3 linked regions of the Stegostoma tigrinum genome follow. The protein of the gene in region 1 interacts with the protein of each later gene in a pairwise test. Links are inferred from orthologs where the notes say so. Each region holds a gene or a part of one and is shown in the gene's direction. Other genes may lie near its edges. The genes, in order: myoz1a, E3 ubiquitin-protein ligase TRIM63-like and flncb.

The links.
Region 2: the proteins of myoz1a (region 1) and E3 ubiquitin-protein ligase TRIM63-like interact in a two-hybrid assay, tested with the Homo sapiens proteins (2 studies listed by BioGRID and IntAct). The link is inferred for Stegostoma tigrinum from reciprocal best matches to the Homo sapiens genes MYOZ1 and TRIM63.
Region 3: the proteins of myoz1a (region 1) and flncb interact in a two-hybrid assay, tested with the Homo sapiens proteins (2 studies listed by BioGRID and IntAct). The link is inferred for Stegostoma tigrinum from reciprocal best matches to the Homo sapiens genes MYOZ1 and FLNC.

Annotation. Positions count from the first base shown.
Region 1 is NC_081390.1:26,563,067-26,574,036, reverse strand, and holds the start of myoz1a (myozenin-1a), read left to right. Parts: upstream 1-5,868; 5' UTR 5,869-6,034; intron 6,035-6,547; 5' UTR 6,548-6,575; coding exon 6,576-6,651; intron 6,652-7,373; coding exon 7,374-7,543; intron 7,544-10,155; exon of another isoform or gene 10,156-10,438; intron 10,439-10,970. UniProt on the Homo sapiens protein: Myozenins may serve as intracellular binding proteins involved in linking Z-disk proteins such as alpha-actinin, gamma-filamin, TCAP/telethonin, LDB3/ZASP and localizing calcineurin signaling to the sarcomere.
Region 2 is NC_081377.1:30,187,527-30,198,286, reverse strand, and holds the start of E3 ubiquitin-protein ligase TRIM63-like, read left to right. Parts: upstream 1-5,700; 5' UTR 5,701-5,850; coding exon 5,851-6,009; intron 6,010-6,872; coding exon 6,873-7,039; intron 7,040-9,768; coding exon 9,769-9,937; intron 9,938-10,760. UniProt on the Homo sapiens protein: E3 ubiquitin ligase. Mediates the ubiquitination and subsequent proteasomal degradation of CKM, GMEB1 and HIBADH.
Region 3 is NC_081378.1:21,510,194-21,521,719, reverse strand, and holds the start of flncb (filamin-C), read left to right. Parts: upstream 1-6,926; 5' UTR 6,927-7,088; coding exon 7,089-7,425; intron 7,426-11,526.

The DNA of each region.
Region 1 (10,970 bases):
TGTCTAAATTGCAACATACTTTTGGAAATTTGAAAAGGCTGGAAGATTGTATTCCTGTCTCATAAAATGCACATTCTGAACTTATAGTAATTGATCTAAAAACTCAATGGGGTCTTTAAGAGTAGTGTTGAGTATCAAGTCTAATGAAACAATTCAAAAGCTATGATTTGAGAAATTTAGAAAACATGATTTGGAATATGTAGAGCCACAGTGCACAGAAACAGACCCTATGGTCCAACCAGTCCACACCAACTATTATCCCAAACTAAACTAGTCATAACTTTATGCGCTTGGTGCATATCCCTCCAAACATTTCTTATTCATGATAACAAAGTGTGGAGCTGGATGAACACAGCAGGCCAAGCAGCATCTCAGGAGCACAAAAGCTGACGTTTCAGGCCTAGACCCTTCATCAGAGAGAGGGATGGGGAGAGGGTTCTGGAATAAATAGGGAGAGAGGGACAGGTGGACCAAAGATGGATAGAGGAGAAGATAGGTGGAGAGGAAAGTATAGGTGGGGAGGGGATAGGTCAGCTCAGGGAGGACGGACAGGTCAAGGAGGCGGGATGAGGTTAGTAGGTGGGAAATGGAGGTGCGGCTTGAGGTGGGAGGAGGGAAGTAGGTGAGAGGAAGAACAGGTTAGGGAGGCGGGGATAGAAATTCTGGTTTTGGGATGCAGTGGGGGGAGGGGACGAACTGGGCTGGTTTTGGGATGCGGTGGAGAGGGGGTAGATTTTGAAGCTTGTGAAGCTTGATACCATTGGGCTGCAGGGTTCCCAAGCGGAATATAAATTGCTGTTCCTGCAACCTTCGGGTGGCATCATTGTGGCAGTGCAGGAGGCCCATGATGGACATGTCGTCTAAGGAATGGGAGGGGGAGTTAAAATGGTTCGCGACTGGGAGGTGCAGTTGTTTATTGTGAACCGAGCTGAGGTGTTCTGCAAAGCGGTCCCCAAGCCTCCGCTTGGTTTTTTATTCATGTACTTATCTAAGTGTCTTTTAAATGTTGTAACCGTACCCACAGCTATCCACTTCCTCTGAAGTTCATTCCACACATGAGCCACTCTCTATGTAAAAAAAACTGCCCCTCATATCTTTTAAAAATCTGTCTCCTCTTGCCTTAAAAGTATGCTCCCTAGTCTTGAAATGTCCCTCCGGCGGGAAAAGACACCTGCCACTCACCTTATCTATGTCCTTCATGATTTTATAAACCTAAATAAGATCACCCCTCAAACTCCTATGCTCTACTGAAAAAAGTCCCAGCCTCTCCTTATAACTCAAATCCTCCATTCCCAGCAATGTCCAGCTAAATCTCTTCTGAACCCACTTCAGCTTCAAAATATCCTTCCTATAACTGGACAACCAGAACTGGAAGCGGTATTCCGGAAAAGGCCACCAGTGTCCTGTACAACCTCAACATGACATCCCAACTGCTACCCTCAATGGCCTGAGCATTGAAGACAAGCGTGCTAAACACCTTCTTAACCACTCAATTTATGTTTGATGGAAATTTCAAAGAATTATGTACCTGAACCACTGAGCCTCTTTTCTAACACACTACCAAAGGCCCTACTTTTAATTGTATAAGTCTTTCCCCATATTTGTTTTACATAAATGCAATACCTCACATTTATCCAAATTAAACTCCATCTGAAATTGATCAAGATCTCTTTGTAATCTTAGAAAACCTTCTTCTCTGTCTAAAAGACTACCAATTTTGGTGTCATTCGCAAACGCACTAACTATGCCTTCTATATTGTCATCTAAAACACTTATATGAATGTCAAACAAAAGTGGACCCAGCACCAACCTCTATGGAATACAACTGGCCACAGGCATCCAGTCCAAAAAACAACCCTTCACCATCATATCTGTCTCCTGCTATAAAGTCAATTTTGTATCAAATTGGTAAGCTCACCCTGAATCCCATGTGATGTAACTTTACTAATTTGTGTACCATGTGGAACCTTGTCAAAGGCTTTACTAAAGTCCAAGTAAACAATGTCTACTACTCTGCCCTCATCAATCTTCTTGGTTACTTCATCAAAAATCTTAAACAGGATTGTGAGACACAATTTCCCTTGCACAAAACCATGTGCATTCTCCCTGAAATTCTTTGCTTCTCCAAATACATATAAATTCCAACTTTCCGAATCACTTCCAACAACTTACCCACCACCAAAGTCAGACTCACAGATCTATAGTTCCATATGTTTGGTATGTTATTGAGTACAGAAAGCAATAGGGAGCCATTTCAAAATAAAATTTTCCTGATATTCAGTTAAGAAAATACACTATATCATTGTAACTTAGAAGACATTTTGCATCCAAAGACACATGATGCAGACAGAAGCACAATTAATTTTTCCTGGAACGTTTATAAGAATGGACAAATGTTTATCATATACATTATTATCTTTTACAACAGCCCTGAATTTTAGCAACAGAGGAATACTTAGCAGGGGTCAAGGGAGAAATGGATAGTGAAAACAGATGCACTAACAACTTTCAAAAGTGGTTTGGATAAATACTTAAGGGAAATACTTACATAAGAACATATGGAATGGGAACATACAGTACCTTGAGCTTGCTGTGCCATCCAGTGAGACTAGAGCAGTTTCTTGTCCCCACTTTCTTGTCTGATCGCTCCTCTGTTCATCAGGAGAGATCAGGGAAACTGAACTAATTGGATGACTCTTGCAAAGAGCTGACATGAACATGATGAGTTGAAAGATTTCTTGTGTTGTATTACTCTATAATGATGGGAGCATCACAGCATCTAAAAACTATTTAGTTGTTGCTCAACTCACACTGTATGCAACTGCTATGTTTTTTGAAGATCACAATATTTAAATGTTACACTGTACATAGACATGCTGGAAACAAATTATAGACTCACTGTCCAGGCTTCAATTCCATTCAAGACTGATGTGTTACAGCATTGGTGTTTCAGTAATTGTCAGCATTCACTCGGTTGTGATTTGCGAGATATTTTGTTTATCGCACTGCCCTTATTTCACTACTTCTTCAAATATCAAGACAATGAAACTTGATTCATTCTCCACACAGGATTTGACAATAGGTCATATTTGCTTTGGTTGTGTATTTACAAAGATGCCATTTTAACAGTGCTATTAGCCTTTATTTTTTAAGCTAGTCAACTGCCAGAAAAGGGAATTGTTTGGGACCAGCTGACAGCTTTAAAAAAAACACTGGATCAGTATCAGTAAGGGCAATTCGGGGCTACAGAGAATTTACGAACACTGCAGAAGTAAAAGGAGTTTATTGAGCATGAAATTCTGCCTCATTTACATCTATCCGATTCACATCCAGCCCAAACTTTACAAACTAGTTCAATTACATTTTCCAGCGAAAGTAAGTGGCCTGCTGATGCACTCTCATCCCTTTTATGCTTCCAACAACAGCAACATTCCATTAATAATGTGATTTTAACACTGACTAATCAGCCAAAAACAGATTTGGAGAAGCACAGGGATCTCAGAGGATTTTAGGGATGTAGAATATTACAGTGATGAAGAAGGAAAGAACAAGGAGGGATTTCAAAACAAGGATTAGATTTTTAAAAATCAAGGCATTGACTGATGAATAGTCAATATAAATCAGTAGGCATAAAGATAATGGTTGATTGAGACTTTGTAGTAATTAGAATATGGGGAGCAGGGCTTTGGGAAAGCTGAATTTTAGGCTGGTTGAAAATCAGATCAGGAATGCATTGGAATATTAAGGTTCTGATGTGCCAACAGCATAGATCAGGGATTCAGCATCATGTGAGCTCAGACAAAGGCAGCAATAGGCAATGTTGTGAAGGTGAAAATAGTCAGTCTTTGTGATGGAGAGAATAATAGAATCCAAGTTTAGCTCAGGATCCTAATGAACATGCATAGGTTGTGGACAAAACCTCTCAATCTGAGACACAAAGCAGGAAGGGGAATGGATTCAATGTTAAATTGAATGATATTGACTCTTATCCATGACTACCTTTCAGACAAGGTCTCCAGCAACATAGAAGCAATAGAAGGGTCATGAGATATGGTGCTGGTGAGAGCTGGGTGTCAGTATTTTACACAAGAAGCCTTATGTCATTATCTTTCAATGACATGGTTGAAGAGAAATTGATACAAGGCGGGACAAGGATAAAAATCACAGGGATTCTATAGGTAATGGTGTGGTATGAGAACAGAAATCATTGCGGCAGTTTCCCTCTAGGATAAATTTGACTCCACAGTTTCTTAATGAAAGACCATGAAAGTGAAGTTTTTGAAAGAAATCTTGCAGACTTGAAGAAGTGCAAATGATAGGTTTAAATGTTGGACAATCCCGTGACTTTATGTTCGGCAGGGCAAATGATCAGAAATATTAGAAATTGTCAATAGATGTGCAGGGTAGGTGGATTGGCCATGCCACATTGCCCATAGTGGCCAGGGATGTTTAGGTTAGGTGGGTTAGACATGGGAAATGCAAGGGTAGGGGAATGGGTCTGGGTGAGATGATCTTCGGAGGGGTCATGTAGACTGGTTAGGCCGAAAGGCCTGTTTCCACACCACAGGGATTCTATGATGATTCTATGATTAAACCCTGATTCTCACATATGGTAGCATGGGAATGCAAAAACACCCCTGCAATTTGTTAAGTAACTGTACTCACCTTTTACCTCATCCATTCATAACATTTTGAAACTCAACAGTGAGTTCAGCAAATTGTTACTGTTCTTACAGGACAGCCAGGTGCCACCTCAATCCCCATTCAAACCATCCATTGAACACCAGTCAATAAAAACTATGTTCAATTCACACTTCCCTCAACTGAAGGCATTTAGGCTAATTACAATAGTATACTCACCACTCTTCATGTTCAATGGCATTTCTATTGCTGAATCCCCTCATACCAACATCATGAGGGTTACCATGGACCAGAAACAAACCTGGACTAGTTGTGGAAATGCTGTGGCTACAAGACCAGGTCAGAGGCTAGGAAATTGGTAGCAAGTGAATTACCTCCTGAGTCTGCTATGGACCATCTACAAAGCACAAGTCAGGAGTGTGATGGAATACTCCTCATTTGTCTGGATGAGTCCAGCTCCAACAACACACAAGAAGCTCGACAGCATGTTGGATAAGGCAGCTGCTTGACTGGCACTACACGCACCACCCTAATGTTTTCTCCCTTCACCACTTATGTACAAGAACAGCAGTCTATACTATCTACAAGAAGCTTTGCAGTTGCTCACCACGGCTCCTCTAACAGCATCTTCTAAATCCACAACCTCTACTACAAGGGGATGACAAGGGGAGCAGATACTGGAAATCACTACCTGCAACTTCCCCTCCAAGTCACACACCATCCCAACTTGGAAATCTATCACCATTTCTAGGTTAAAATCCTGGAACTCCCACTCTAATAGGACCATGAGTCTACCTACATCACATGCACTGCAGCGGTTCAAGAAAGTAGCTCAAAGGATGGGTAATAGATGCTGGCCCACCCAGTGAGGCCCACATGCTGGAAACAAACAAAATAAAACCTGGATAGGGATCAAACCTGTAAACCTTGCTGGCTTTAATGACCCATGCCAACAAACACAAACCACCAGATTTTCTCCTGTAAATTAAGTAGAAGATCTGACAAATCTCAGAATCCCTGAAGGTGACTGGTGTGTTGAGATTACCTGCGATTGATAGTTTGTCTTTATTCAATTTCACAGCTTGTTTCCGTTTCCCTCAGAGCAGTTGGTTAGAACCTTAAGTTTGAAGATTGCTTACACACATGGTTTTATCTTGTCTCACTGCTATCTGAGCTCCCTGTTTCAATACTATATTTATCTCAATGATGCACATTGCATTTGGAATCAAATTCACTGCACTTTGCATCAGCACTTGGTGCTGTGCAGACACAAGTCCTGCTCCGTCCTTTCTTCGCAAAACTTCATCTTAGCTCATTTTGATTTAGAAAATTCTGACCTGAAACTGCAACCAGCAACCAGATATTCCAGTAGGACTCAGTTGAAAATTTAACGGTAAGTTATTGTAAACAGCTGCATTATCAGTGGTAACACATCAAACAAGTTTGTGGTTGTTTTTATCATTTAAGCTCACTGAATCAAGCTCTCTGAAGCTCTGATTCAGTTTTATATAGTTTTCAAGCATCAGGGAAACTGTCAGGGATGCTTGTTCCAGCAGAACATTATTAGAGTTGTGGAATGATCACGCTATTGCAAATGAGAAGAATGAAGCATGTATGAATATTTTTCCCACCTTCTTTCACAGGCTGGTTTGAAATATTTGTGAGGTTTGTGCATGCTGTACAATATGAGATCAGAATCAAGAGCTAACAGGGCATTTACTGTTGCATTGTAACTCCACCTTAAAGCAATAGATATTGTGCATTTAAGCTCATTGAACCTAACTATTTCCAGTGACAAGCGTTTGATTGTCTTTTCCAGAATTACTAATGAATGAACGTCCTGATCCATTTCTTTGGTACAATGTCACTATCGATGTGTGCTTTTTTTTCCTAACTCATTGTTCAGCAAGAAGAAAGGACTGACCCCAGCCACGATGCCACTAGCTGGAACTCCTGCCCCAACCAAGAAGAAAAGGACAACCAGAATAATTCCAAAAACATTGAAGGATGGTAAGGTCCTGCATTTATAACATCACACTCAAGGCGACAAATGTAGCTTTCCCTAAAAAAAAACACTGGCCCCTTCCAGATAACTGAAAGCACTTACTAGATTACATTGTCATTTCGTCTGCAGTATATATTTATTTGTAACTACTTTGTAACAAATTCAAGTGAGAAACGGGGACTCCTTCGGAAAATATTAGAATTGCTGAGTGCTATTTCCTTGGGTTTAAGGTTTTCAAAATCCCAAACTACTTGACAACAAGCCCCATATTTTACCCGTGTTGTTCAGCCTGTCTTTTCTATTTAAGACAACCCTTTTGGCTATGAGTCAACACACCCAATTATAAAATACTCTGTCATGCTATTCAGTTCTTTAACCTGCTAATTAAAAAAGTTAGAGATGCTGTTTGATTGATTTATTTCTGCACATTTTCTCAGTAGCTTGTAATTTTACAACATTTGTGGAGAACCAGGTATGCCTTCTCAGATGACAGGAGTGCACTTTAATTCGGAGAAGCTGCTGACAGTAGTAACAGCTGAAGATGGTGTGTGATTGATTTATTGACCACAGGTTAGCAGCGTCTCGCCATTTGCAGCACTTTTATAGCTCCATCGATATATTTCAGACTAAAGTCCCAAAAAGGCACAAGGCCAAATGTGTGTTCCACTCTCCTGTCCCAAGCCTTAACATCTTTCATGTTTGTTGTGTTTACCATTCTCTGTCAAAGCCGGAACCGAGATTAACCTTGGGAAGAAAATCAGCATCCCAAGGGATGTGATGTTGGAGGAACTGTCACTATTGAAGAATAAAGGATCCCTGATGTTTAAAGAGAGGCAACGCAGGGTCGAAAGGTTCATCTATGAATCAAATCCTGATGTCTTTAACACAGATTCGATGGTATGCATTACAACCCATTTCATATCCAATATTGGTCACTTCAGGTCAACATACAAATTCCTTTCCACAGATTTACTAGCAATTTATATATAATTGACACACGTGTGCTACTTCAGTAATTCAGTTTCAGAAGCCACAAATTCAAATGTTTCCTTTTCATCCTGAACTGCATTGCAATGGCTACATCACATCACCAATTACATCAGCACCATGAGCATAGCAGCTCATCACCTCACCTCCTCCTCCGAAAACATTTACCATTTCTCATACCAGTCACTGTCCATGGCTTGCCTGTCACCTTTATTCCCTTAAGTCCAAGGAGCACAGAATCCAATGTATCTCATACACAATCAACTTAGCCCTTCATTTCCAGATCAGGCTTCACCACATAAGTCATATTGAGCCACACGTTCCTCTGCCAAAATTGATCGCTCCAACTGGATTATCTGGGAGAGAGGAAAGAAACTCCTGTTTCTCTCCTTGTCAACAAACCCCCTGACCTTAGCCATTTAGATCTCAGCTCAAACTAGAAGCATGTGAACTTCTTGGACTTTATTTTCACCAAGATAAATACCAACTACTCAGTCGCCTCTACTGCTTTCTCCCTTTTCTCCCTCTTCACCAAACCGAATCTTGCTTCAGAATTATTTCTCTCACTCCTGGGCCTTCGTCACAATCTCTGTTTCCCTCTCTTCTCCCCAGAGTCTTTTCCATTTCCCCAATATTCCCATTTTATCTCACATCATCATGAGATTCATCTTCTGTTCTCTTGATCCTATTCCCAATAAACTGCTGACTACTCAGTTCCCCATGCTAGATGTTCTAGTAATGGGTTCAGTCCATTTCCAAAATGTTATCGCCTTTTAGCTCACAAAATATTTTTGCAATTCCTGTCTTCCTGAAAACGACTATCTAAGCTCCAACTTCCATTTGCTTATCAAAGTCTTTAAATATACATTTCTGTCTGAAATCTGTGGGATTTTTGTGCAATTCCCTGTTTGTATTTCTCAAATTCTATTACTCTCACAGTAGTGAGACAACCAAACTAAGACATGGATGACATTGGCTAGTACTTTATAGTACTTTATCCCTCAACTTCCTCGATATCTCAATAAAAAACAAAAGAACTGTGGATGCTGTGAACCAGGAACGAAAACAGAAGTTTTTGGAAAAGCTCAGCAAATCTAGCATTATTGATGAAGAAAAATCAGAGTTAACATTTTGGGTCCAGTGATCCTCAGAACTGGGGAGCTCTGAGCAAAGGTCACTGGACCAAAACATTTTCCTTCACAAGTGTTGCTATACCTACTGAACTTTTTCAGAAACTTCTGTTTTTTTGCTCCTTGATATCTCTATTTCTTTGATATTTCAACTAAAACCTCTACTCTCCACTTCTGTCAATTTCTGTGGAACTAGCAGTATATGGTAATCCTATTAATTGTATACTGTTGCCAAAACATCTACAATAATGTTTCTGTTCTGATCCTGCATCGTTAACTTTGAAGCTCATCAATATTCATTCTTTCCTTATGATACTGCTTCATCCAATGCTGTAACTTGATAATGATTTCAGGAGCCATGGCTCACTTTCAAAAGTTCTACCTCTCTATCAGCTTTCTTGAACATCCAGTACTATTATTTATCAGGTTGCTTGTCCAACATAGTCTTGATGGGAGATAACAAAGTGTAGAGCTGGATGAATACAGCAGGCCAAGCAGTATCTTAGTGCTCCTAAGATACTGCTTGGCCTGCTGTGTTCATCCAACTCCATACTTTGTTATCTCGTAGTTTTGATGGGCTCAGTTTTATCCAATTATGCCAGCTGAGACCAAAACCATTACTTTTGGCAAGTGCTTTATACTTTATTTATTCATGGGGTGAGGGCATTGCTGACCAGGCTGCATTTATTGCCCATTCCTAATTGCCCAGAGGGCAGTTTAGAGTCAACCACATTGCTGTGGGTTTGGAGTCACATGTAGGCCAGATCAGGTAAGGATGGCAGCTTCCTTCTGAATTAGTGAACCAGATGGGTTTTACCAACAATCAACAATGGATTCATGATCATCATTAGACCCTTAATTCCAGATGTTTGATTGAATTCAAATTCCACCATTTGCCATGGCAGGATTTGAACCTGTGTACCCAGAACATTATTTGGACCTCTAGATTAACGGTCCATTGAAAGTACCACTAGACCATCGCCTCCCTGCTGGAATACTGTTGGTACTGATTCCATTCCCTTCTCTGATCATAGTCTCACATCAAATTAAGTAGCCTGGAACCTCAGCATCCCAATCAAGCCCAAAACAATCAAAAGTAGACTTAAGAAACTTCTTCACAGTGACGACTTTGTGCAAGTGTGATTGTAAGCTCAAAAGATCAGTTGAAGTTTTGAAAGTAGAAATAGATATGCAATGGGAATTAAAGGAATAAATTGTAGATTTCTCAAAGATGACTGTGGAGATGAGAAATGTAGTGATAATAGACATTATCATAGTGCTTGTTTCCGCAGTAATGTATTAGACAGTGTGTTGAAGTCTGCAATTAAATCAACTGTCTACACAATATATTAGAATTAAGCATTTTGGTACCTTACTTGTGACATCGAAGAACTTTTAAATAATTTATTCATATTTCTGTCCAGTTTTGTAAAAACAGCTTTTCTTTTGCAGAAGAAGGCATCAAAGTGTTATAACCAAACTACCCTTTCAAATTATTCCAACTCATCTATTTGAGTCCTCCCTCTCAGTCCTCCATCCAGCATGCCGCCAGATGTGCTGAGTTTCTCCAGCACTTTCTGTTCTTCTTTCAGATTCCAGCATCTGCAATATTTTGCGTTTATTATATTAAGGCGTTTAAGTTTACCGATGATGCAAATTGAGGTGGGAATGCAACCTGTGAAGAGGACACAAACTTTAGATCAGTGACAGCAACACAGCGAAGGAGAGAGAACCTGGGAGTGAACAGCAACAGCAGAATTAATACCTGAGGAGTGGAGTCAGTCAGAGCAAACGTGGAGCTGAATCTAAGCTCCAGAGACAATGTCACAACTCAACAAATGACATAGGCTTGGCTGCTTAGGAACAAAGTTTTCAGACTGAGTGTGTAGTGTCTGGAAAGAAATACTTAGTTGTTACAGTTGTAGTCTACGAGGAATAGATAGCAGGAGTGAGGGACCTGAGTTTGGTGATTAGTGGGATTTTTTTATTCATTCACGGAATGAGGGCACCACTTACTAGGCAGCATTTATTGCCCATCTCTAATTGCCCAGGGGGCAGTTAAGAGTCAATCACATTGCTGTGGGTCAGGAGTCACATTTCAGCCAGACCAGGTAAGGACGGCAGTTTCCTTCCCTAAAGGACATTAGTGAACCAGATGGGTTTTTCTAACAATTGACAATAGATTCATAGTCTTCATTAGACCCTTA
Region 2 (10,760 bases), on another chromosome or scaffold:
GCGTATACATTCACGGCTCAAGAAGAATGCCAAACTTCACAATTCATTTTACTTCGATAATAAAGTGTGAAGCTGGACGAACACAGCAGGCCAAGCAGCATCTCAGGAGCACAAAAGCTGACGTTTCGGGCCTAGACCCCTCATCAGAGAGGGGGATGGGGTGAGGGTTCTAGAATAAATAGGGAGAGAGGGGGAGGCGGACCGAAGACGGAGGGAAAAGAGGATAGGTGGAGAGGAGAGTATAGGTGGGGAGGTAGGGAGGGGATAGGTCAGTCCAGGGAAGACGGACAGGTCAAGGAGGTGGGATGAGGTTAGTAGGTAGGAAATGGAGGTGCGGCTTGGGGTGGGAGGAAGGGATGGGTGAGAGGAAGAACAGGTTAGGGAGGCAGAGACAGGCTGGGCTGGTTTTGGGATGCAGTGGGGGGAGGGGACGAACTGGGCAGATTTTGGGATGCGGTGGGGGAAGGGGAGATTTTGATGCTGGTGAAGTCCACATTGATACCATTGGGCTGCAGGGTTCCCAAGCAGAATATGGGTTGCTGTTCATGCAACCTTCTGGTGGCATCATTGTGGCACTGCAGGAGGCCCATGATGGACATGGGGAGGGGGAGTTGAAATGGTTCGCGACTGGGAGGTGCAATTGTTTATTGTGAACCGAACGGAGGTGTTCTGCAAAGCGGTCCCCAAGCCTCTGCTTGGTTTCCCCAATGTAGAGGAAGCCACACCAGGTACAACGGATACAGTATACATCTGCTTAATATGGAAATTCATCTTGGGGCCTGGGATAGGGGTGAGGGAGGAGGTGTGGGGGCAAGTGTAGCACTTCCTGCGGTTGCGGGGAAGGTGCCGGGTGTGGTGGGGTTGGAGGCAGTGTGGAGCGAACAAGGGAGTCACAGAGAGAGTGGTGTCTCCGGAAAGCAGACAAGGGTGGGGATGGAAAAATGTCTTGGGTGGTGGGGTTGGATTGTAGATGGCAGAAGTGTCGGAGGATGATGCGTTGTATCCAGAGGTTGGTGGGGTGGTGTGTGAGAACGAGGGGGATCCTCTGGGGGCGGTTGTGGCGGGGGCGGGGTGTGAGGGATGTGTTGTGGGAAATGCGGGAGACGCGGTCAAGGGCATTCTCAACCACTGTGGGGGGATAGGTGCGGTCTTTGAAGAACTTGGACATCTGGGATGTGTGGGAGTGGAATGCCTCATCGTGGGAGCAGATGCGGCGGAGGCGGAGGAATTGGGAATAGGGGATGGAATTTTTGCAGGAGGGTGGGTGGGAGGAGGTGTATTCTAGGTAGCTGTGGGAGTCGGTGGGCTTGAAATGGACATCAGTTACAAGCTGGTTGCCTGAGATGGAGACTGAGAGGTCCAGGAAGGTGAGGGATGTGTTGGAGATGGCCCAGGTGAACTTGAGGTTGGGGTGGAAGGTGTATTTTACTTCTCTGAGTTTAAAATTAAAAGATTAATCTCAACTAACCGCCATTCATGTACGATGCACAACCAGACACAAAAGAGGAGCAGTTGACCATTCAGTCCCTAGAGCCCGCTCTGCCATTCCAGATTAGTGGAGAAATTTTTAATGTGACTTACACTGTTCCAGAAAAAGCCATTCAAAGATTAGTTCATTCAGAGTTGTTCTCAGTGAGAATATATTTTTTAAAAATCCTTAACTGCAATTTTCCTTCAACAACACATTTCAAACCTGGAATCCCTTTCACCTGGAAGTTCAAAGGCAGCAGACAGTGGAACAGCAACAGTTACACTGACTACCCTGATTGTTTCTTCATTTTGCTGATTCACAATCTTGGAAAGTCTTTGCAGGACTGCAGCTCACTGCATCATCTCAAGGATAATTAGGGATAGGCAACAAATGTTGTACTCACCAGGAGCAATCTCCTCCTAAGAATGAATAAATTTTTAAACATTAAAAGAGCAGCGGAAAAAAAGAAATCTTTCTTTCCTGCTGCACTTAAAAGTCTGGTTGTCATGTGGTGCGATGTTTGAGTGTGTTATCGTTCACTCAAGGAGTGAATCGCAGTGGCAACTGCATTTTTACGTGTAAAACTAGTATTAATGTGAGTTGGTGGCAAACCCTTCACAGATTACAGTCATATAGTACACATGGTTGTGGTTATTAGAGGTTCAGTCATTTCAGCTCCAGGACAAATCTTCAGGAGCTCCTCAGGATTGAGTTCTGACCCCAACCACCTTCAGCTGCTTCATCAATTACCTACCCAGCATCGTGGAATCAGAGTGGGGATGTTCGCTGATGATTGCATAATGTTCAGCACCATTCGCGAATCCTCAGATACTGAAGCAGTCCATTTTCAAATCCAAAAAGATCTGGACAACAAGTGATAAGTAACTTTCAGTCTGCACAAATGCCAGGCAATGACCATCTCCAATATGAGATAATCTAACCACCGTTTCTTGATATTCAATGGTGTTACCATTACTGAATCCCTTACTATCAAGATCCTGGGGGTTATCACTGAACAGAAATTCAGCTGAAATCACCACAAAACCACAGTGGCTCCAAGCGGAGGTCAGAGGTTATGAATACTGTGATTAATAAGTCGCTTCCTGGCTCCCAAAGCCTGCCCACATCTACAAAGCACAGGTCAGATGTGTGATGGAATACTCCACAGTTGCCTGGAAGGGTGTGGCTCCAACAACATTCAAGTAGCCTGACACCATTTAGGACAAAGCAATCCATTTGATTAGCCCCATATCTACAGGCATTGACTCCCACTACCGCAGATGCTCAGTAAAACAGTGGGTACCATCTACAAGGTGCACAGCAGAAATTCACCAAACATCCTTAGGTAGCACCTTCCAAACCCACAACCACTTTTATCTAGAAGGACTAGACAGCAGATACAAGCTCCCTTCAAAGCCACTCATGATACTGACTTGGAAACATATTGCCGTTCCTTCACTGCATTCCCTGAATTCCCTCCAAAATGGAAATGTGGGTCAATCCAGAGCAGGTGGACTACAGTTGTTCAAGAAGGCAGCTCACTACCACCTTCTCAAGAGTAACTAGGGATGGGCAATAAATGCTGTCCAGCCAGCGACACCCACATCCCACAAATGAATAAGAAAAATTATTGCCATTCCCTAATTTCCCTTGAGAAGGTGGTTCTGCAGTGAACCACTGCAGACCGTGTGAAGTAGGTAGAACCCACAATACCCTTAAAAAGGGAATTCCAGGGCTTTGATCTAGGATAGTGACTGGCTTAGAAAGGAATTTGCAAGTGATGGTGTAGAATGTGGCAGCGTTGGGGATTGAGGAGATGAGTTACTCACTGCAGTATACCTAACCTCTAACTTGTTGTTGTAGCCACAGTGTTTAAGCGGTGAGTCCAGCAGTGTTTTTGGTCAATGATAAGCCCCAGGATGCTGACAGTGGGGATACAATGATGGTAACACCATTGAATGTCAAGGGGTTGGTTGTTAGATTGGTGATGATCATAGCCTGGCACTTATGTGGCATGAATCATTCTTGAACATGATCTGCTACAATATCTGTGGAGTAGCAATTGTACTGAACATCGTTCAATCGCTAGTGAACATTCTTATGATGGAGGGGAGGTTGTTGACCAAGCAGCTGAAGATGGTTGGGCCTAGGATTTTGCCCTGAGAAACTCCTGCCGAGATGTCCTGGAGCTGAGATACCCTCCAAAAATCAGAACGATCTTCCCATGTGACAGTGTGAATCCATTGATTCCAGTTTTGCTAAGGCTCCTTGATGCTACATTGCAGCTTTGATGTCAAGGCTGTCACTCTCACTTTACCTCTGGAATCCAGCTCTTTTGTGCATGTTTGAACTGAGGTTGTAATGAGATCAGGAGCTGAGTGGCCCTGGTGGAGCCCAAACTGAGTGTTCGTGAGCAGGTTATTGGCGAGCAGGTGATGCTGAATAGCATTGTTGATGACAGCTTCCATCACTTTACTAGTAATGGAGACTAGAATGATGGGGTGGTATTTGGCTGGGTTGGATTTGTCTGGCTTTTTGTGTACAGGATATATGTGGGCAATTTTCCACATTGTTGAGTGGATACCAGTTTTGTAACTATAATGGGATGGCTTGGTGAGGGGAGCAGCAAGTTCTGTAGCATAAATCCTCAGTATTACTGCCAGAATTTGTCAGGTCCCATACATTTGTAGTATCCAGTGTCTCTATTCCTTTCTTGATATCATGTGGAGTGAACTGAATTGACTGAAGACTGGTATCTATAATGCTGGGGAACCACTGGAGGAGGCCAAAATGAATCATCCATTCATTACTTCTGGCTGAAGATTGCTGTGGATGCTTCAGCCTTATCTCTTGCAATGATGTGTCAGGCTTCTTCCTTCACTGAGAATGGGGATACTTGTAGAGTGTCCTCCTCCTGTGAGTTGTTTAATTGTTCACCACCATAAATGCTGGCCAGCCAGCAATGCCCATGTCCCATAAGTAAATAAATTTTAAAATGTGTGTTGCAGTCAGAATTGTAGGTTGTGATGGCATAGCGTCCGATATTCGTTCTATCACATGGCTGATCAGGAATATCTCCTTTCCTTAAACGCCATCACTGGCTCATGTTGGAAGGATTTTGTCAATTGATCTCAGCATATTTGGCCATTATGAATATACCTTTCTTGGCCATTAAAACCTGCAGTGGGATTGACACCCAGTCATTCTGGTCCAGTGGCTGAGATTGTGATGGTACCACGAGATGTCCTGGTGAGATTTGTAAACAAGGACAATCGAGTTACTTGTAATTGAGAGTTGGGGTTGTAGGGGGTTGTCTCCAGTGGTGTGGGTGGAAACCTGTTTGGACAGTTTCCGTGGTTATTAACATTGAGGAAAATCAGAATGTTATTCTAGTTATGCTCATGACTCACATGTCCAATTTTTAAGCCGTTAGATTGGCTTGAACACTTTTCAGGCAGCTGGGCAAATATGTGGAGGAAACTCCAGGACTTATATCTGCTGGTTTTTACAAACTTCATTCTTGGGGTGTCAATGTCGTTGGCTCTTAATAGATATTTTAAATTCAACAGCTGAAGAATCTTTGCAATTGATAAGTGGAAAGGATTTGTATTTTCTTTAATATCAGCCACATCTAAAATATTTCTGGACTCACCAAGCAAACCCAGCTAGGCCTATTCTTCATTTCACTCCTGGCTGCTGGATGCTTCATTCTACTCTTCCACCATCACATCCCCTGCTCTGAGAGTATCCCTATCCCCAAAAGACTGCACTTCTTCACAATCTCCTTTCCTGCTTTCAGAAGTATCCAGATAACCAAGCCCTACATTAACTTTCTAATGCCTTCCTCCCTCATTGTCAATGTTCACGATTGTCTACAAATCCTGTCAAAGCGCTTTCAAAATTCCCTTGATGCACAGTGAAAACAAAATTGTTTTTGTTGGGCATTTTGGACAGGATGTTTTCTACTCACCTTGATCGATTGGCAGTTATATAAAATGTTTAGCAACTTTATTTTTATTTATTCTTTCTGTGTAAGTTGTTTTTCTGAGTGTCACATGTGACTGCATCTCCGGGTCCTGCTTGTTCTCAGTTTCACGTTGCAAGTTTCTAATATGGGAAAAGTTATGTTGAGGACTAGGTTCCCCCACCCCCCACCTCAGCTATCATGTGACACTGGAAATCTTTATAAAAAGGACGAGCTGTCATGCACAGACAGAAAAGGAACAAGGAGTAATCTTATCACGACGCCTGAGCTCCACTGAATCTCTTCTGAAGAGGATACTAACACGGAATTTGTCTGAAAGCAACGAGAGTGACAGGGAGAAGAAAAAGGCAACGCAACTCAGCAGGTTTTTAAGTGGTGTTTGCTATATTTGGAGATGGAGTTCCAGCCGAATATTATCCGAGAATCCAGCACGATGGAGACACTGGAGAAGCAACTCATCTGCCCGATTTGTCTTGAAATGTTTGAAAAGCCGGTTGTGATCCTGCCATGCCAACACAATCTGTGCAGAAAATGTGCCAATGATGTATTCCAGGTTAGTGCTTTTAAGCTGTGTCCATTCAAAACTCGGCAAACTGGGGTTTCTTATCAGTGTTCCAAACTTTCAAAGACAGTAACATTTGGAAATGGGTAACTCCTTTCCAACTTTCTGTGGAGAGCTCTGACCACTTGCTGGGTTGCAGTAAGGCACAGATATTGACTTCAATCCTCTGTCCTAATATCTCAGTTGGTGGCTTGGTGTCAAGTATTGTTTAATATGACCCCTGTGAAATGCCCTGGGATGTTTGCACCATGCCACGAGTGCTATACAAATAGAACTTGGAGTTTTGCTGTCCCTCCTGTGTCCCCATACCTCACTTGCACCTGCACTAACTCCAATGGGAGCCATGGTTTAATTTCTCCCCATTTCCTCAGACCAAGGCCATTGAAGCCAATTGCAGCAACTCAACTGAAGTCTGAGATCAGCTAGTTGAACATAAACTTAAAAGTGAACCTGGACCGTGCACAGTCTGCACTATTGGCAGTTAAGAAAGACAGATTAGAAAGCTAGGATGTAAGGCAGAATTTGAATTCATTAACACTGCTCACAATGTCAGGTTGTCCCAAAGCATCTTATGATCAATGAAGTATATTTTTCAAGTAAAGTTACTGTTATAATATAGGAATGATCTTCAAGACTTAGGGAGACCTCTTTAATATAAAATTTAACAAACCTTTAGGTGAGTAAGTATTTCTGAAAATCTTTTAAAGCAGAAACTTTAAAAAGTGTGATATCTTTTGACATTATTTTTAAAAATGATGAGTAGGTATAATGTTGCATCCAGTTTTGGTACAGTGCTAACCTGTGAGCTTGTGCTAAACATTTTCTAGATACATATATGTATGTGCTTTTTTTAGGCTGCTAATCCATATTGGCAGGGTCGAGGTACCATGATTTCTGGAGGTAGGTTCAGGTGCCCATCCTGTCGACATGAAGTTATCCTGGACCGTCATGGGGTATATGGACTGCAGAGGAACCTACTGGTGGAGAACATCATTGATATCTACAAGGAAGAGGGAATCAGGTTAGCTTGGGGAACCATTTCATCTTCTGCATCAAGCTTGTTGTTCGGGTCAGAGGTACAGGTGGGTGATGGGAAGAGAAGATGGAAATACGTTTGCCAGGCTGGGAAAGTGATTATTATGATACGTCTTATGCATTGCTTGCAATGATGCCTCCTGGAGGTATTTGCTGAGATATCATGTGAACACATCAAGAACCCAAATCTTGTATTTTTCAGTTGAAGTGGGAATAAGTTCAGGGACAGTTGGACTGAGTTACAAAGATGCTAGCTCAGTTTGTTATATATTGTGTGTACTTCTACAGTTCTGTTACAAGTTCATATGTTTCCTTCTTTAATGGAAACTGCCCACGTGAACAACTCACAGTGAAGATTATGAAGGCCTTTGATGGAGCAGATATAGAGATGTTTCCACCTGTAAGGGAATCCAGAACCAAGGGTGTTACAAAATTAAGACATAGCTAATCAAACTGATATAGAATTGAGGAGCAGTTTCTTAACTCAGTGAAACTTGCTTCCATATGAAGTGGTTGAAGGAGATTATTGTAGATGGTTTTAAAGGGAAGCTAGATAAATACATCATGGAGAAAAACAAATAAAAGGATCTGTTGACATGGCAAGAAAGTAGGTTGGAGAAGGCAGTTGGGAGAAGGCCCACAATGAGTGTAAATGCCAGCAAAGATCTTATGTTCTGAATTGAAAAATCCTATGTAATAACATCCTTCAATTTATGTTAATATTACAATGCCTTCACTGGTAGGAGGGTGTAATTACAGTGTAACTAGTTTTAATAAGCACCAATTTTTAATAAACATTGTAAATGTGACCAGAGGAAGATAAAAAGTTCAAAGTATGTGGAGCAACTGTAAGATTTTTGATGTGAAATAGATGCTGATTTCACAAACCAGAAGGCCTTTAAAGTTTTCTGAATTTTATCATACTTTTCAGTGTAGATTAGGATAAAACAACTTTGCAGCTAATATAAAACATCACCTGCAATTTGAATTATTTTGAGTCTGCAAAGGTTGCGCTACATTAATTAGTCTATGGAGCAACAAGTGGTGTCCCTTCAAAAGCAATGATTTGTGTTTCAATCACTGTGGGGAATGACTGAGGGTTGGATAAGATGTGAAATAAAGGAAAATTACTTTTCCATTTCAGATTCTATTGGTAGAAAAGAAGGAATCGATTGACCATAGGGTACATATTTTAGATGAAAATCAGATGAAACAACATCTGAAGAACTTTTTTTTCACTCCCCATGTTAAGTTACAGTGACTTCCCACCGCATTCATATTCTCAAGGTCATCTGGGCAAGGTTTCAACTGGTAACGATGACACAAATGTTCTTTAGTCCAGCTGTTTCTAAATGTTTAAAAATAGTCGGTCAGTAACTACCCAGCTTTGCTGAGCTGTGCCTTTAAAAAACACTTGGCCATGAATGAAATTAGTTACATAAAAATGTCATAATACGTTGATATAAAACAGTATTTTTTAGAACGTCTAATAGTAAGAGATTTAATTTTATGAACAATGATCATCTCTGAAATGCAGCTCCAGCAAGAATAAATAATTTTAAAGAACTATGACCGTTTAAGTACCATTCAGTGATTGGCTTTCATCACCAGTGATAGGGAAGAGCTGGCACAATGAGGATAGGATTTTCATCTCAGTAGCTTGAACCCCAGAAGGACAAGGGCAGCAGCCACATGGGAATTCCATTGCCTGCAAGTTCCCTTCTGAATCCACTTCATTCTGACTTAGGCAAATATCACCATTCCTTCATCAGTGAATCAAAATTATGGAACAATACTGTGAGAGCACTTTCTTCACAGGCCATAGTTGTTAAAGATGAGGAACCACCATGACCCTTTTAAGGCCAAACAGAAGATGGACAATAAATGACAATCAAGCCAGCAATGTCAACTGGTTGCGAATGAATTTTTAAAACTCTCCCAGCCTTACATCCAAACCTACTGCTGCCCTCTAATTTGGGTTCACTGTTTAATGCACCTTCTCCACCACATCCAGACTCCCCTCCATGTTACATCTTGTACGTCTCACTTGGTGCAGATGCTTACTTCTTAATCCTGCTGTCTTTAAGCTTCCTTTTTACCCCACAGCCACTCAGCACATCCACCCATACCTTCCACTCCCTCCTCAAAATCATATACCTCCAATCATGTTATAGCTCACTCTCTTGTATTAGTTGTGTCAAAAGCCTCATGCATTTGCTGGGTGCAGGATGCACAGGTACTTAATGGCATTTGGGGTGGTGTCGGTTTATATCACTAAAACAAAAACAGGCACAATCACTCAATAGGAATTGAAGACAACTAGCCCTGAGTATTGGAAATCTGAAATCCAAACAGCAACATCTGGAAAAGCACAAACAGTTCATCAGCATCTGAAAGAAACAGGATATGTTTTGGTGCAATTACCTGGCTTTTCATTTTTGTTCTATGCGCACAGATCTACTGTGTGTCTTTAGAGATTTCCGTTAAGATACATTTAAGGGAAAGGTGGATAAGGTGAAGGGAGAAGACAGGGATAGCTTGAAATGAATAGGGGTGAGGAAAAGCTCACATGGAAAATAAACACCACCAGAGGCCAGAATGGGCAAACAACCTGTTTCTGTGCTGCAAACTCCATGTAATTCACATCGTTCCTCTAATATTTCCTTATGATTGACAACATACTGATGAACGTATATCTGCTCCTTTGACATACAGCCGACCCTTAAAGAAAGGCAATCAGCCCATGTGTGAAGAGCACGAAGATGAAAAGATCAACATTTACTGCATCTCTTGCCAAGTTCCCACCTGCTCAATGTGCAAGGTCTTTGGTGCCCACAAGGACTGTGAGGTGGCTCCCCTGCAGAATGTATTTCAACAGCAAAAGGTGAGGAATGGTTCAGGAAGCGAAAGGAAGGACAGGCATGGGTCAAATCATTTAAAATCAATAAAGCTGACAAGTCATATTAACTGTGATAATGGGAACTGCAGATGCTGGAGAATCCAAGATAACAAAGCGTGAAGCTGGATGAACACAGCAGGCCAAGCAGCATCTCAGGAGCACAAAAGCTGACGTTTCGGGCCTAGACCCTTCATCAGAGAGGAGGATGGGGTGAGGGTTCTGGAATAAATAGGGACAGAGCGGGAGGCGGACCGAAGATGGAGAGAAAAGAAGATAGGTGGAGAGGAGAGTATAGGTGGGGAGGTAGGGAGGGGATAGGTCAGTCCAGGGAGACGGACAGGTCAAGGAGGTGGGATGAGGTTAGTAGGTAGGAAATGGAGGTGTGGCTTGGGGTGGGAGGAAGGGATGGGTGAGAGGAAGAACAGGTCAGGGAGGCAGAGACAGGCTGGGCTGGTTTTGGGATGCAGTGGGGGGAGTGGAAGAGCTGGGCTAGTCATATTAACTACTCCTTTAAAATGTACAATCAAAGCACTGGGGTTCATTTTAATGAGGATTGGAATTCAATGCAGAGAAATTATCTTAAACTTGCTTAGAGCTTTGGTTCGACCACATGCATAGCTCTGGCCATGAAATAGTGGGATAAAATGATATAAAAGCATGCATCTGATAAGCCAAGTGACTGCATTCCATGTCATAATGAATCCATAACCTGACAGGAAAGAGAAGGGAATTGAGGAAATGTAGCTGAGGAATGGAAAACAATAAGACAGGAAATTTGTACGTAGCGTTTGGCTCAAATGGCATGCAA
Region 3 (11,526 bases), on another chromosome or scaffold:
AGCCAACCAACCACAACATCAACAACCCGAGCTACAAATCTACCCAAAAACCTCAATGTTAAAAGTGCATTCCCAAATTTCTCAGTTTTGTTCAAAGTGCCACACAGCCTGTCTATGGACAGAGAATTGTGATTGGTGCAGCCATAGTTGTGTGTGTCCACACGGAGATGGAGAATGTTCCTGAGAAACAGCAACAGGCACAGATTTAAGTGGACTGGAAGAAGGATAAGAGCAAATATAAGTGGGAATCTGAGATTCCGTACATAATTTAGTGGTTGAGGCAGTTCAGTTAAAAGGAAACTGAACCTACGCTTGTAACCTGCAAGACTACAGATCAGACACTAGAAAGTGAAACGTAAATTGGGACTAGTTTATTCAGGTGATGCAGACATGATTTATTGAATCGCCTCTTTCTTTGCTGTAACCTTTCTGCAGTTCTGTGGTCCTGGAGTGTACTTCCATTAAGCAGCAGCCCCATTAGTAGCAGAATGACGTTTAAGGAATCATTCACCTTTCTCTTCAACGTTGTTGCCCATACAAGATCATTGCGTTCCTGCAAACATCATCTCCATCCATTACCAGAACACTCTGGCATACAGCACCCAGGAGAAAGTTCCTTTATTGCACAATTCTGCTTCCTTGCCTTTAATTACGCATGGCGAATTGAAAGAGGGCACCAATATGATTTCCTACACACTCAGTATTTCCTTCCTAACTCTGATGTTTCTGCCTGTGATTTTTCTTGACAGTGGCTGTGAGCTGTGCAATCCCAATTAATCCAGTATCATAACTGTGTCAGAGTATGAGGATAGTTTGTCAAGTGTTACTGAGAGGCTCCTACATTGAAGCTAGCTTTGGAACAATGGCAGAAATAGACAGCTGCCCCTTTCACTAGTCCAAATGTCACCTTTAGCCAGGATTTTACTGGTGTATGTGGGGGAGAATGTGCAGAAATGCTTTGAGTGTGCTAACGTACGGGGAGACAGTTCCTTGATCCATTACCTGCCTCTGCTGCTACTTTACGCTCGGGTGGGCAGACCCAGTTACAGGAATTAATGCCATTAAATCTGCCACTACCTTGTGACTAAGAACCTGCCCAATCGGGGAATTTTAGATGGCAGAACAAAGCACGTGTGGTGTCTGTAGTGAGTGCTTGGCAATGCTACAATTAATCTTGTGTCTCTTCCCAAGGTTGAATGCCATGATCTTCACATCCGTCAAGAGCACCCATCCCTGTTTCCAAATGCAAGAAGTAGCTTGATAAATCTCTCAGTGACTCTCCAATCACATAAGCTCTGAAAGTATCCATTACCTCAGCATCTGGGGGGGAAGTGAGCTGATATTCCATCTTGGTGTGTCCCTTCTCTGATTAAATTTTCATCAGCTCCTGCACACTCGTGTTTTGTGGATCACACTCAAAATAATCCCTGGACATCAGATGCACCAGGGTGAGGCAAGGGGTTTAGTTCAGGATAGATGTAGGAGTCTGGGACAGAGCAGGTAAAGAGAATAGTTTGAAACTGAGATAGGGCTTGGAGGAGAAAATGATGCAGTGGGATGTATTGGGATTGCTACCAAAGTCAATGGAGAGAGTGGTGCAAAAACAAAGTTGCTGGAAAAGCTCAGCAGGTCTGGCAGCATCTATGGAGAAGAAAACAGAGTTAGCGTTTCGGGTCTGGTGACCCTTCCTCAGTTCTGACCTGAAACGTTAACCCTGTTTTCTCCTCCACAGATGCTGCCTTACCTGCTGAGCTTTTCCAGCAACTTTGTTTTTGTCCCTGATTTACAGCCTCCGCAGTTCTTTTGGTTTTTATTGAGAGAGTGGTGCAGTTGGATTTGTTTGCGACTTATACAGAGCAATGGGGAGAAGATGCAGCATTGGAATTAGTTGGATTTGTACAGGGATACAGGGACAGAAAGGGGCAGTTGGGGTGGTTTACAATTGATAATGTAAGAAGGGCAGGGGCTGTTTTAGATGAAGAGCGATAATGAAATACTGTGGCAGTTAGATTAGCTTGGAATTGATAGGAGGCTACGAGGAATGAGTAGGTAATGGAACTATATTGGGATTGTTACAGATTTTAGGTGAGAATTGAGTTGTGGGATTAATTTGGGATTGATACAGGTCATAGAGAGAGAAAGAGATCGGTTTGGGACTAATTTTGAGCTGGAGAAAGTAAGTGGGCTTGGAGGTTTTTACTTGGGTTTCATATCGAGTTTTGGGAAGTGAATGCAGCATTCAGATTAGTTTTTCCAGTGTTATAGGGAAAGAGCGGGTCAATCGAATTAGTTTGTGACTGATACAGGTCTATGGGAAGAAAGTGGAGTGGAATTAGTTGGAATTGATACAGAACTATAGGAGGTAGTGACATTAGATTGGGACTGATAGAAGGCTCTGGGGCAGAGTGTAGATCAGTGGTACTATTTTGGGATGGATATGGGGCTATGGTGAGAGCATGTGACAGGGAGTTTGGGATAGAGTCAGGCCTACCTGAGAGTGTAAGGCAGGGAGTTTGAGGTATGGTTACAGGGAGACAGGTAACAGGATAGTTTGGATGGATATGGGGCTATGGGGAGAACATGTGGTAAAGTTTGGGATTGACATAGAACTACAGGGAGAGAGCATATATTGGAATATGTCTGGGATTGTTTTAATGAGCTAACTCAGATGCATTGAGCTAAGTGGTCTTGTTCTATGCTGTGAATTTCCCTAACACTGTGTGGTTTGAAAGTCTAAGCTTTTTGATTCCCAATGAAACAGAGAAGAGATACCCAATCCTATTAAATAGCCTGTTTTGTTCATTAGGAGTTCTGTTTTGTTTTCAGAAACCTAAACTTAAAGAAAGCTTGAAATGTGAAGATAGAGAGTTAACCCCAAATTCTATGCGGACAACAACAGTTTGAACTTATATTGCCTTGGACACAGTTAAATATCTAAAGGTACTTTGCAGCAGGCTTAGCAGACAAATACTTGAGAATGAGTCACATGAAGAACAATTTAGGAAGATGACTAAAAGCTAACTTTCAAAGAGTGTATTAAGGACAGGGAAGTGGAGAGATGCAGAGGTTTAGGGAGAGAATTCCAAAGCCTTGGTCTGAGACTGAAGGCACAGTCACCATTGGTAGACTGATGGAAACGGGGGCTGTGTGTGAGACCAGATTTAGAGAAAGGGAGAGCACACGGAGAGTTGTAGATCTGAAGGAGAAAACAGAGAGACCATAATCATTCTTTGCTGTCTGATGACTGACTCACCCAGCTACTGTCTATTTGTCAGTAAAAATGCTCTGTGAATATTCTTGCAAATAATTTCATTGATCATCAAGTAAGAAATATCATTTTTTGTAAAATATTGTAAAATGAGACTCTGTATTGTACCAGTGTGTATAGTTAATGCTGTCCTTGTCACTCAAACATTGGCATACTGCTAACTGCTCTGAGTGTAGATTGGAGTGAAAGAGAAACAAGGAGACTGAGTGGTGGCCCAGCACTGAATTGCCTTCCTTTCAAATCTGTGTTTTCCTTTTCCTCTGGTTTGAACTCTGGTATGGGCTTTATACCATGTTTTTGCCTCTCTTGGCCAGTTGAGTTCTGTAGTCTCTCCTTTGTTGCTTCACTGAGACCATGCTTTCAATTACAAATAAAAATTTGTACGCTGCATTTGTGAGAAAAATTTCCTGGCAGTCAAGCACCTCAAAAAAGATGAGGCCACGAAGAGTCCTGGGCTCCACTAGGGATGGGGTCTGGGGGAAATCTGACCCCTGTCCTGCCCCCAACATGGGGGAGACTTGTTACCACATCCCCACAAATGTACCTTCACTCCTGAGATGAGGGTCTCAGCAAGTCGTGACCAACCCTAGAGATGGTTTCTGGGGAGTCCAGCACTCCTCCTTCCCAAACCACTTCTAATTTCTCAAAATGGGATTCCTGGGCATCCTTGTCTCCTTAAACCCCTCCCTCTTCCCCACCCAGAAATGGTGAAATGATGTACTGGGCAATCCTGGGTCCTCAGCAATGTCTGCCTGCGATACTTCCCATGTTGTCAAATAATATTCTTTGTTCATTTATTGCTGGGGCTGTAATCGGTGGAATGTATTTTGCTTATCAATGGTTTACTATTAAATATATATTTCAAAGTGATACATTTTCAAAATATTCGTGTTTTTTTTTGACAAATCGTGACGAAAAACAATTAAGCCACTCATTAGCCCTATCCTTTATAGTAATAAGAAATGAATTTGAAATTCACCCTCTAATGCACATGAGTGATGACAAGACAATCACACAGATAATATCAAGGTATTTCACCCTGATGTCAGGAAATTTACCCCAACAATATCAGGGGAGTCAGCCTGCCACCAACAACATTTTCACTCTGAAAGTCCAACGCAGGGGAGAAAAAGAAAGCAGTATGAGTGAGAATGAGAGATCAGAGCCTCATTTGGATATTAGTCTAAGTAAAAAGAATTAGCTGGCTTGGAAATGTAGCATTTAATTGGGTCTGTCACTGGATATGTGGTTTAGGCACTGATCGGGAGCCAGAGGGGCAAAGGCGATGACTGGATATCTCAACATTGGTCTATGAGGAATGTCACACACAGCTCACACAACTAATTCAGAGGCTGACTGACCAGTGAGGCACCTTTAAGATATGGAGAAAAACAGATTTAATTACTTTCATGCAGCGTCCCTGAAGCTTTCAATAGTGAGTTGCTACATTGCTGAGTGATGATGCCTGGCCCCTGGCAATGATGCCTCATGCTATATTCGATCAATGAGAACATGTGTACAGCTATTCCTGGGAAGGGGCAGGAATAAATGTATAAAAATGAACTTCTGTCATTCTAACACTGACCCTAGGATATTCAGAAATAGCAGCTGAGCTCAGTAAGGCTGGGACTGCTCTCCGGTAACTCCTACTCACTTTCTGTTTCTGGAATCCAGTCGTTTTTAGGAGTGGGAGGATAGGGGTACAAATGGAATTGGGGGGTGCACAGTGGCTGATGTGAAAGACAAAAATGTATTAATGCAGTGAATGCAGTTGGGAAAGGAGAGGGTATTTACCCAACCTCTAGACAGTTGGCACATTGAATACACCGACAGGGATTCCCCCACCACACCGCCCCCCCCCCCCCACCCTGTCATTGCTTACACTGGGAAGGATGCAGGTTAACCCAGACTGGTGAGTTCACAGAATTGTAACATGACAGGAGTGACATGCCTGTCCTGACTCTCTGAACAATGCACCTAGTGCCATTTCCTGCATTTTTGTGATAACCCTGCACAAGTTCTCTTTTCAAGTAAAAACCCAACATACTATTGAGTGCATCAATCCACCACGTTCTCAGGCAGCGCATGCCAGATCTTAACCACTTGCTGCATTCCACATCTTCTCCCCATGTTTCCTTTGATTATTTTGCCAATTACCTTAAATTATATCTTTCAGTCTTGATTGTTCAACCAGTAGAAACACCTTTTCCTACCTGGTTAACTCCACGTAGACCCCTCAGGATTTTGAATACTTCAATCGAGTTTCATCTCAAGCTTCAAGGTGAACAGTTCCCAATTTCTCCAGCATACCTATGTAGCTGAAGTTCCTCATCTGTGGAACCAATCATAAGCATATTTTTGCACTCTTATTAAAGCCTTCACAAATTTTCTAAAGTGGGGTACCTAAAATGGAATTGAACAGTACTCAAGTTGGGGCTGAGACAGTGTTTAATGCAGGTTTAAGATAACCTTGCTGTTGGACTCTACACCAGCACTACTCAAGCCTAGGATACTGTATGCCTTGTTAATTGATCTCAACGTGGTCTGCCACTTTTGATTACTTATACCCCTAATTCCTTCCATTCTTGCATCCCCTTTGGAGTAGTACCCTTATATTTTGCATTCTTCCAAAATGAATCTCCTCACTCTTCTCCACATTGAATTTCAGCTGCTACATATCTGCTCACATCACCAACTTATCTACATTCTTTGCAGTTTCACATTGTCCTCCTCACAATTTAGAAAACTTGGAGCGAATCTATCAGCCACAAGTTTCAAAATTCTGTTCTGAACCACATAATGAATATAGATCAGGTAAAACAAGGCTCTCAACACTGACCCACTATAAACCCTTCTCAGAAAAAACTTCATCAAACACTAAATTTGAAGTATTGCAGATGCTGGATATCTGAAATAAAAACAGAAAGTACTAGAGAAGCTCAGCAGATCTCCCAGACTCTGTGGAGGGAAAAGCGGAGTGAATGTTTTGACTCCGCTGAGTTCTAAGTCAATGGATTCAAAATGTGAACTGCTTTCTCCGTGGACGCTGCCAGACCTGCTGAGTTCTTCCAGTATTTTCTGATTTTTTATTCCATTAGCCACTACTCTCTGTATTCTGTCACTCGGCCAACTTCCTATCCACTTGCTACTGTGCCTTTTAAATCGGAGGTCTAACTTTGCTCACAAGTCTCTCCATGCAGCACGGTATCAAATGCCTTTTGGAAGTCCATGTTATTGACACCAACAGCATTACCTCTCGGTGTTATCCCTTTCGGAGGGATGGGGGTGGAAAGTGGGGGAAGCCAGCAAGTTGGTTCAACATGATTTGCTCCAGTTAGCTCATTGAATGGTGGCGAGAGGAGACAGGTCAGACCCTGGGTGGAGTTAAACTGAGCTCTAGAGTTAACCCATTGAATGGAGAATGCACCCAGAGTGGGGTTCAACTCAGGCTGTTATTAACCCATTGAGTGGAGAGAGGAGGCTGGGTTAACCCATTGCTATCCTCGATGCTTTGAGGTGCTAACGGAAGGCTGCAGTCAGCGGCTATGACGAGCAGCATGACCTGGCTCTGGAGTTTTTATACGGCCATGGCCTCGGGATTCCTGGCGAGCCTGCTCTCTGACGTGGGCCCGGAGCAGCCGTCACTCATTAAAAAGTGCGGCGGGGCCACCAGCGCGGCCATTCGGCGGCTGGTAGCCGGGCGGAGAGGGTGGAAGTGAGAAAGAGAGAGGACCGGAACCGGGAGTGAGCAGGAGGGGGGAGTTACCGCGGCGAGACCCACTCTGTAGAGTCCGGAGAAGAAGTTTCCCGGAGGCGGACGATGGAGCAGCAAGAGGCGGCGGCCAATGGCCAGGAGGACGGGGAGATGCCGGCTACTGAGAAAGACCTGGCGGAGGACGCTCCTTGGAAGAAGATCCAGCAGAACACGTTCACCCGCTGGTGTAACGAGCACCTCAAGTGTGTGAACAAGAGGATCGGGGACCTGCAGAAGGACCTGAGCGATGGCCTGAAGTTGATCGGATTGTTGGAGGTGCTCAGCCAGAAGAAGATGTACAGGAAGTACCACTCGCGGCCCAACTTTCGCCAGATGAAGCTGGAGAATGTGTCTGTGGCGCTGGAGTTCCTGGAAAGAGAGAGGATTAAACTGGTCTCCATCGGTAAGAACAACTCCTTCCCCCTCCCTTTTCCCCTTTATTCCCCCTCCCTTTTCCCCTTTATTCCCCCTCCCTTTTCCCCTTTATTCCCCCTCCCTTTTCCCCTTTATTCCCCCTCCCTTTTCCCCTTTATTCCCCCTCCCTTTTCCCCTTTATTCCCCCTCCCTTTTCCCCTTTATTCCCCCTCCCTTTTCCCCTTTATTCCCCCTCCCGCCTTTTCTCCCCCTTCCTTCCCCCGCCCCCCGCCTTTTCTCCCGTTCCCTGCTTCTTCCCCCCGGGAAGGGCAGTCCCGGGTGAGGCGGGGGGGGGGGGGGTGTAATTCCAGTCCCAGTCCCCTCTTTCCCCGCCTCTGGCTCGGCTCCTCACTGAGATCCACCGCTATTGAGTTTTAAACCCATGGGCTAGTTTTCCTTTTTTCTTCCGACAATAAAATATATTATTGTAAAGACGTTTAAAATTCACATGTTTTTTTTTGCCAAGAGCGTCAGTAAGCCGCGCTCGCCAGCCTCTGGAAGGAGCGGCGGCATGGTTAATGCTGAACTTCTCCCGAAGTGACGGCGAGCTTGTTGGAGAGCGGGTTGTTATTTCTCGGTCACTGAGGCTTGTGGAAGCAAATTCAATTATTTTAAGGTTCCGCAGGAAAGCGAATGGTTTGTGTGGGAAAGTTAGGTGCCTCACAAGGAAACACCAACAAAGTGTGATTTATGTGGGTAGTTTTTTGTAAAAGCTCGTACAGTCACGATGGACCAAATAGCCGTCGGCGCTACGATTCTGTGAATATTACGCTGACTTGAAGTCTAACTTTTCTATTTTATACAGAACCTTGTCACATATCTCAATATGGCCCAGCGGTGCTGGAGCTGCAACTAATTCTTGGCAGTGACTTATAGGTGAAGGGAACAGCTATTAAACCCGCAGCAAGATTCCCACAAATGGCAATGAGATGATTCTCTTCAACACTGAGTCAGAAAGTGTGTCTGAGTCTGACTGCAGAGGCCTGAGCCCAAACTCCAAACTGACCCACTTGGGAGTGTGCTGTATGCTGCCCTGCCCTGGTGTGGGTGCTGTCTTTCAGATCAGACCCTGTCTATGCACTTGGATGGATGTAAAAGCTCATATGCTGCTATGTATGGGAAGAAGAGCATAGCCTGACTAATATTTATAAATAAGGCAGAGTCTGGTTACTGCTGTCTATGGAATCTTGCTGTGTAAATTCCTGCAGTATTTCTGAATAAATGGGACTATACAGCAGAAGGAATTAATTAATATGAAGTGAGTTGGGCTGCACTGAAGATGTGAGGACAGTGATTAGAAATGCAAGTCTTTCAGTATTTGTGACATTGGTAGAGGGAAAAATGTTAACCATGACACTGGAAGAATTTCTTAACCTTCACTCATTGGGTTTTGTGCACCCAAGCTGAACCATGGGCCCCTGGCTAACATTTCAGTTGAAGGACCAGTACAGCTCAGTACAATACTATCATCTGAGATCATTGGTTTAAGTGTATGAGTGACAGGGTGTGAGTGTCCTGCAGTTGTTAATTTTAACAGGTGCAGAAGTAGAGATTTGTAGAAATTGGCACAGCCTCTGTGATCACAGGAGCTTCTGTTAGTTGGGGGGGGGGGGAGGAAGAAGTTCCTAATTTCTGGCATTGATTGGTGGCTGAAACAGATTAGGACAGCAGAGCTAAGAACAGTTGACTGAGTGAAATGTCAGATTTCCACATCCCCTTAATCACTAAGGTGCCCACTTCCACCCCTTGTCAGTTTGCCAGTCTCTACCTTGGCTCATCTGCTGCTGGAACCCTCATTCATGGCAGTGTTACCTCTAGAATCAAAGTATTTCCATGATCACTGGGCCAGCCTTCCTTCCTTCCGCTTGCCATACACTGCAGCTTGTCTGAAACTCTGCCTGTGTCCTAACTCACTCTTGCTGCTGCCACTACATGCCCCCCCCCCCCCCCCCCCCCCGACTCAAAAACAAAAATCCCTGTGCTTGCTGATCTCCACTGGCCACTCATCCCACCAAAGTTCTCACCCTTGATTTCAATCCATGGTCTCCTGCAAGCCATCAGAAATCTTTGTACTATTTTAATCCTATAACCATTGGGGAATATGCCTTGAACTATACAAACCCTGGTTGCTGGAATTTTAGCCCTATCTCTTAAGTTACTGCTTCAGACTTTTGGTCATGTGGGCTGAATATTTCCACACTCAGTTCCCTGTTGATTTTTGTAGTAACTTCTCTTGTAAAGTGTCTTATGTTAAATGTGCTGTACAAAAGTAAGTTTGTGCAGCAGTGAACATGGCTGCCTGCCTGCTTGTCAGTTTAATTTGTAACAGTGAAAATGTCAGAATGGTAGTGGGGGGGACTGTTTCTTGCTGCTTGCTGTGAGAGCTCAGAATTAAGCAGGCAGTGTTTTAATTTAGTCAGTGCACTAGATTGTTGGACAAAGTCAGTAACTTCATTGTAGACAAGGTGGAAATTGCCAGGCAGATCAAGCTCTATCAGAAAGCTACAGTTCAAGTTTTGCTGTATACCCACAGGACACTTTGAGAAAAGTGTTCAGTGAACATGAATGTCTAAATCCAGCTGCCTTGATAGATGGATGAATCTTGTATTTATTTTGTACATTGCCAAGTCCCTGAAGTCAGACTTGAACTCGCAACTTCTTAATTTACAAAGTGAGAGTTATGACCACAAAAGGAGAGGGACCGATGCTTAAGCCTCTGGTTGAATCGAGTGGCTCATTTTAACCTTGGGTGTCTCAAATTGCCTTGGTGTCCCTGAATGGCAATGGGCCTTTCAGCTCTGAGTCTGTTCCATCAATCCAGTAAAATGTATCAACCTCTGTCTTAAAATAAAATTGATCCAACATGATGAATGAATTGGGTCTCAGTTTCTGCCTGCCCCCCCCCCCCCCCCCCCCCCAAAAACAAAAAATTTGAGTCTGAGAATCATTCTGCCTAGTAGCATCCAGGCTATCCTGACCCTGAGGTGATTGGTTACCCAACAGTGGTTCTGTGCTTTACCCTTCCAGAATATTCCCCACACGTTTGCAAAGTCACGCTGGTCCCAAGCTGCTATCCATCCCCCTCCTCCATGAACTGAGCTCAGGAGCTATATACAGCTACCCGTGCAGCTGGCTGGAATGTGTCAGTGATAACCTTGGAGTCTGACAGCTCGCGATGTCGCACTGCTCCCTTCCTGTCCCAGTGCTCATTTGTCTGACTGCTGGATCCAAACCATGCTGTGCTGTCAAATACCCAAATCTCCCCAGGGTGTGACTGGTTCACTGCAGCAGTTTGAGTATAGAGTGGGAAACTTTGATAACTACCAGGCTGAATCTGCACTAGTACATTAGAGTTTCTGTTGTTTTTTTATTTGCAGATAACTTATCTCTCCTATATGCCAACTACATTGGGGAGAGAAAAATGTTTTTCCCCAGGAAACCCCTACTACCTCACGCCCCTCTTTCAAACAATACACCCCCTGCCCCCACCCTCAAAATGGCAGCACAGTAGCTCAGTGGTTTGCACTGCTGCTTCACCAGCGAGAGGGAACAGAGCTCAATTCCACCTTCTGATGACTGTGGAGTTTGCACTTTCTCCCTGTGTCTGTCTGCATGGAATTCTTCCCTCAGCCCAAAGAAGTGCAGGTTAGGTAGATTGGCCATGCTAAATTGCCCAGTGTCCAGGGATGTGCGGTTTAGGTGGGTTAGCCATAGGAAATGTCAGGTTACAGGGATACAGTGGTGGGGTGGATCTGGGTAGGATGCTGTTTAGAGGGTCAATGTGGACTCAATGAGCCGAATGGCCTGCCTCCACATTGTCAGAATTTAATAATTCTATGATTCCAACAGGCATCCTTTTGTGAGAGAGATTAAGTCTCTTGCAAACCTTCCCACTCTGAAGTAGCAGAGAGAGGAGGTCCCAACACAGGAACTGAGGAGCTTTAATCCCACGTGATGCCGAATGACTGAGTTCCCTTAGCATAGCTACGGTTGAGAGCCTGACAGTGTATCTACTGTTGATATGAAGCTGCCTTATAAATAATTTTGCTACCCTTTTAAATCTAAATTAAGATATACTGACATTGGATGG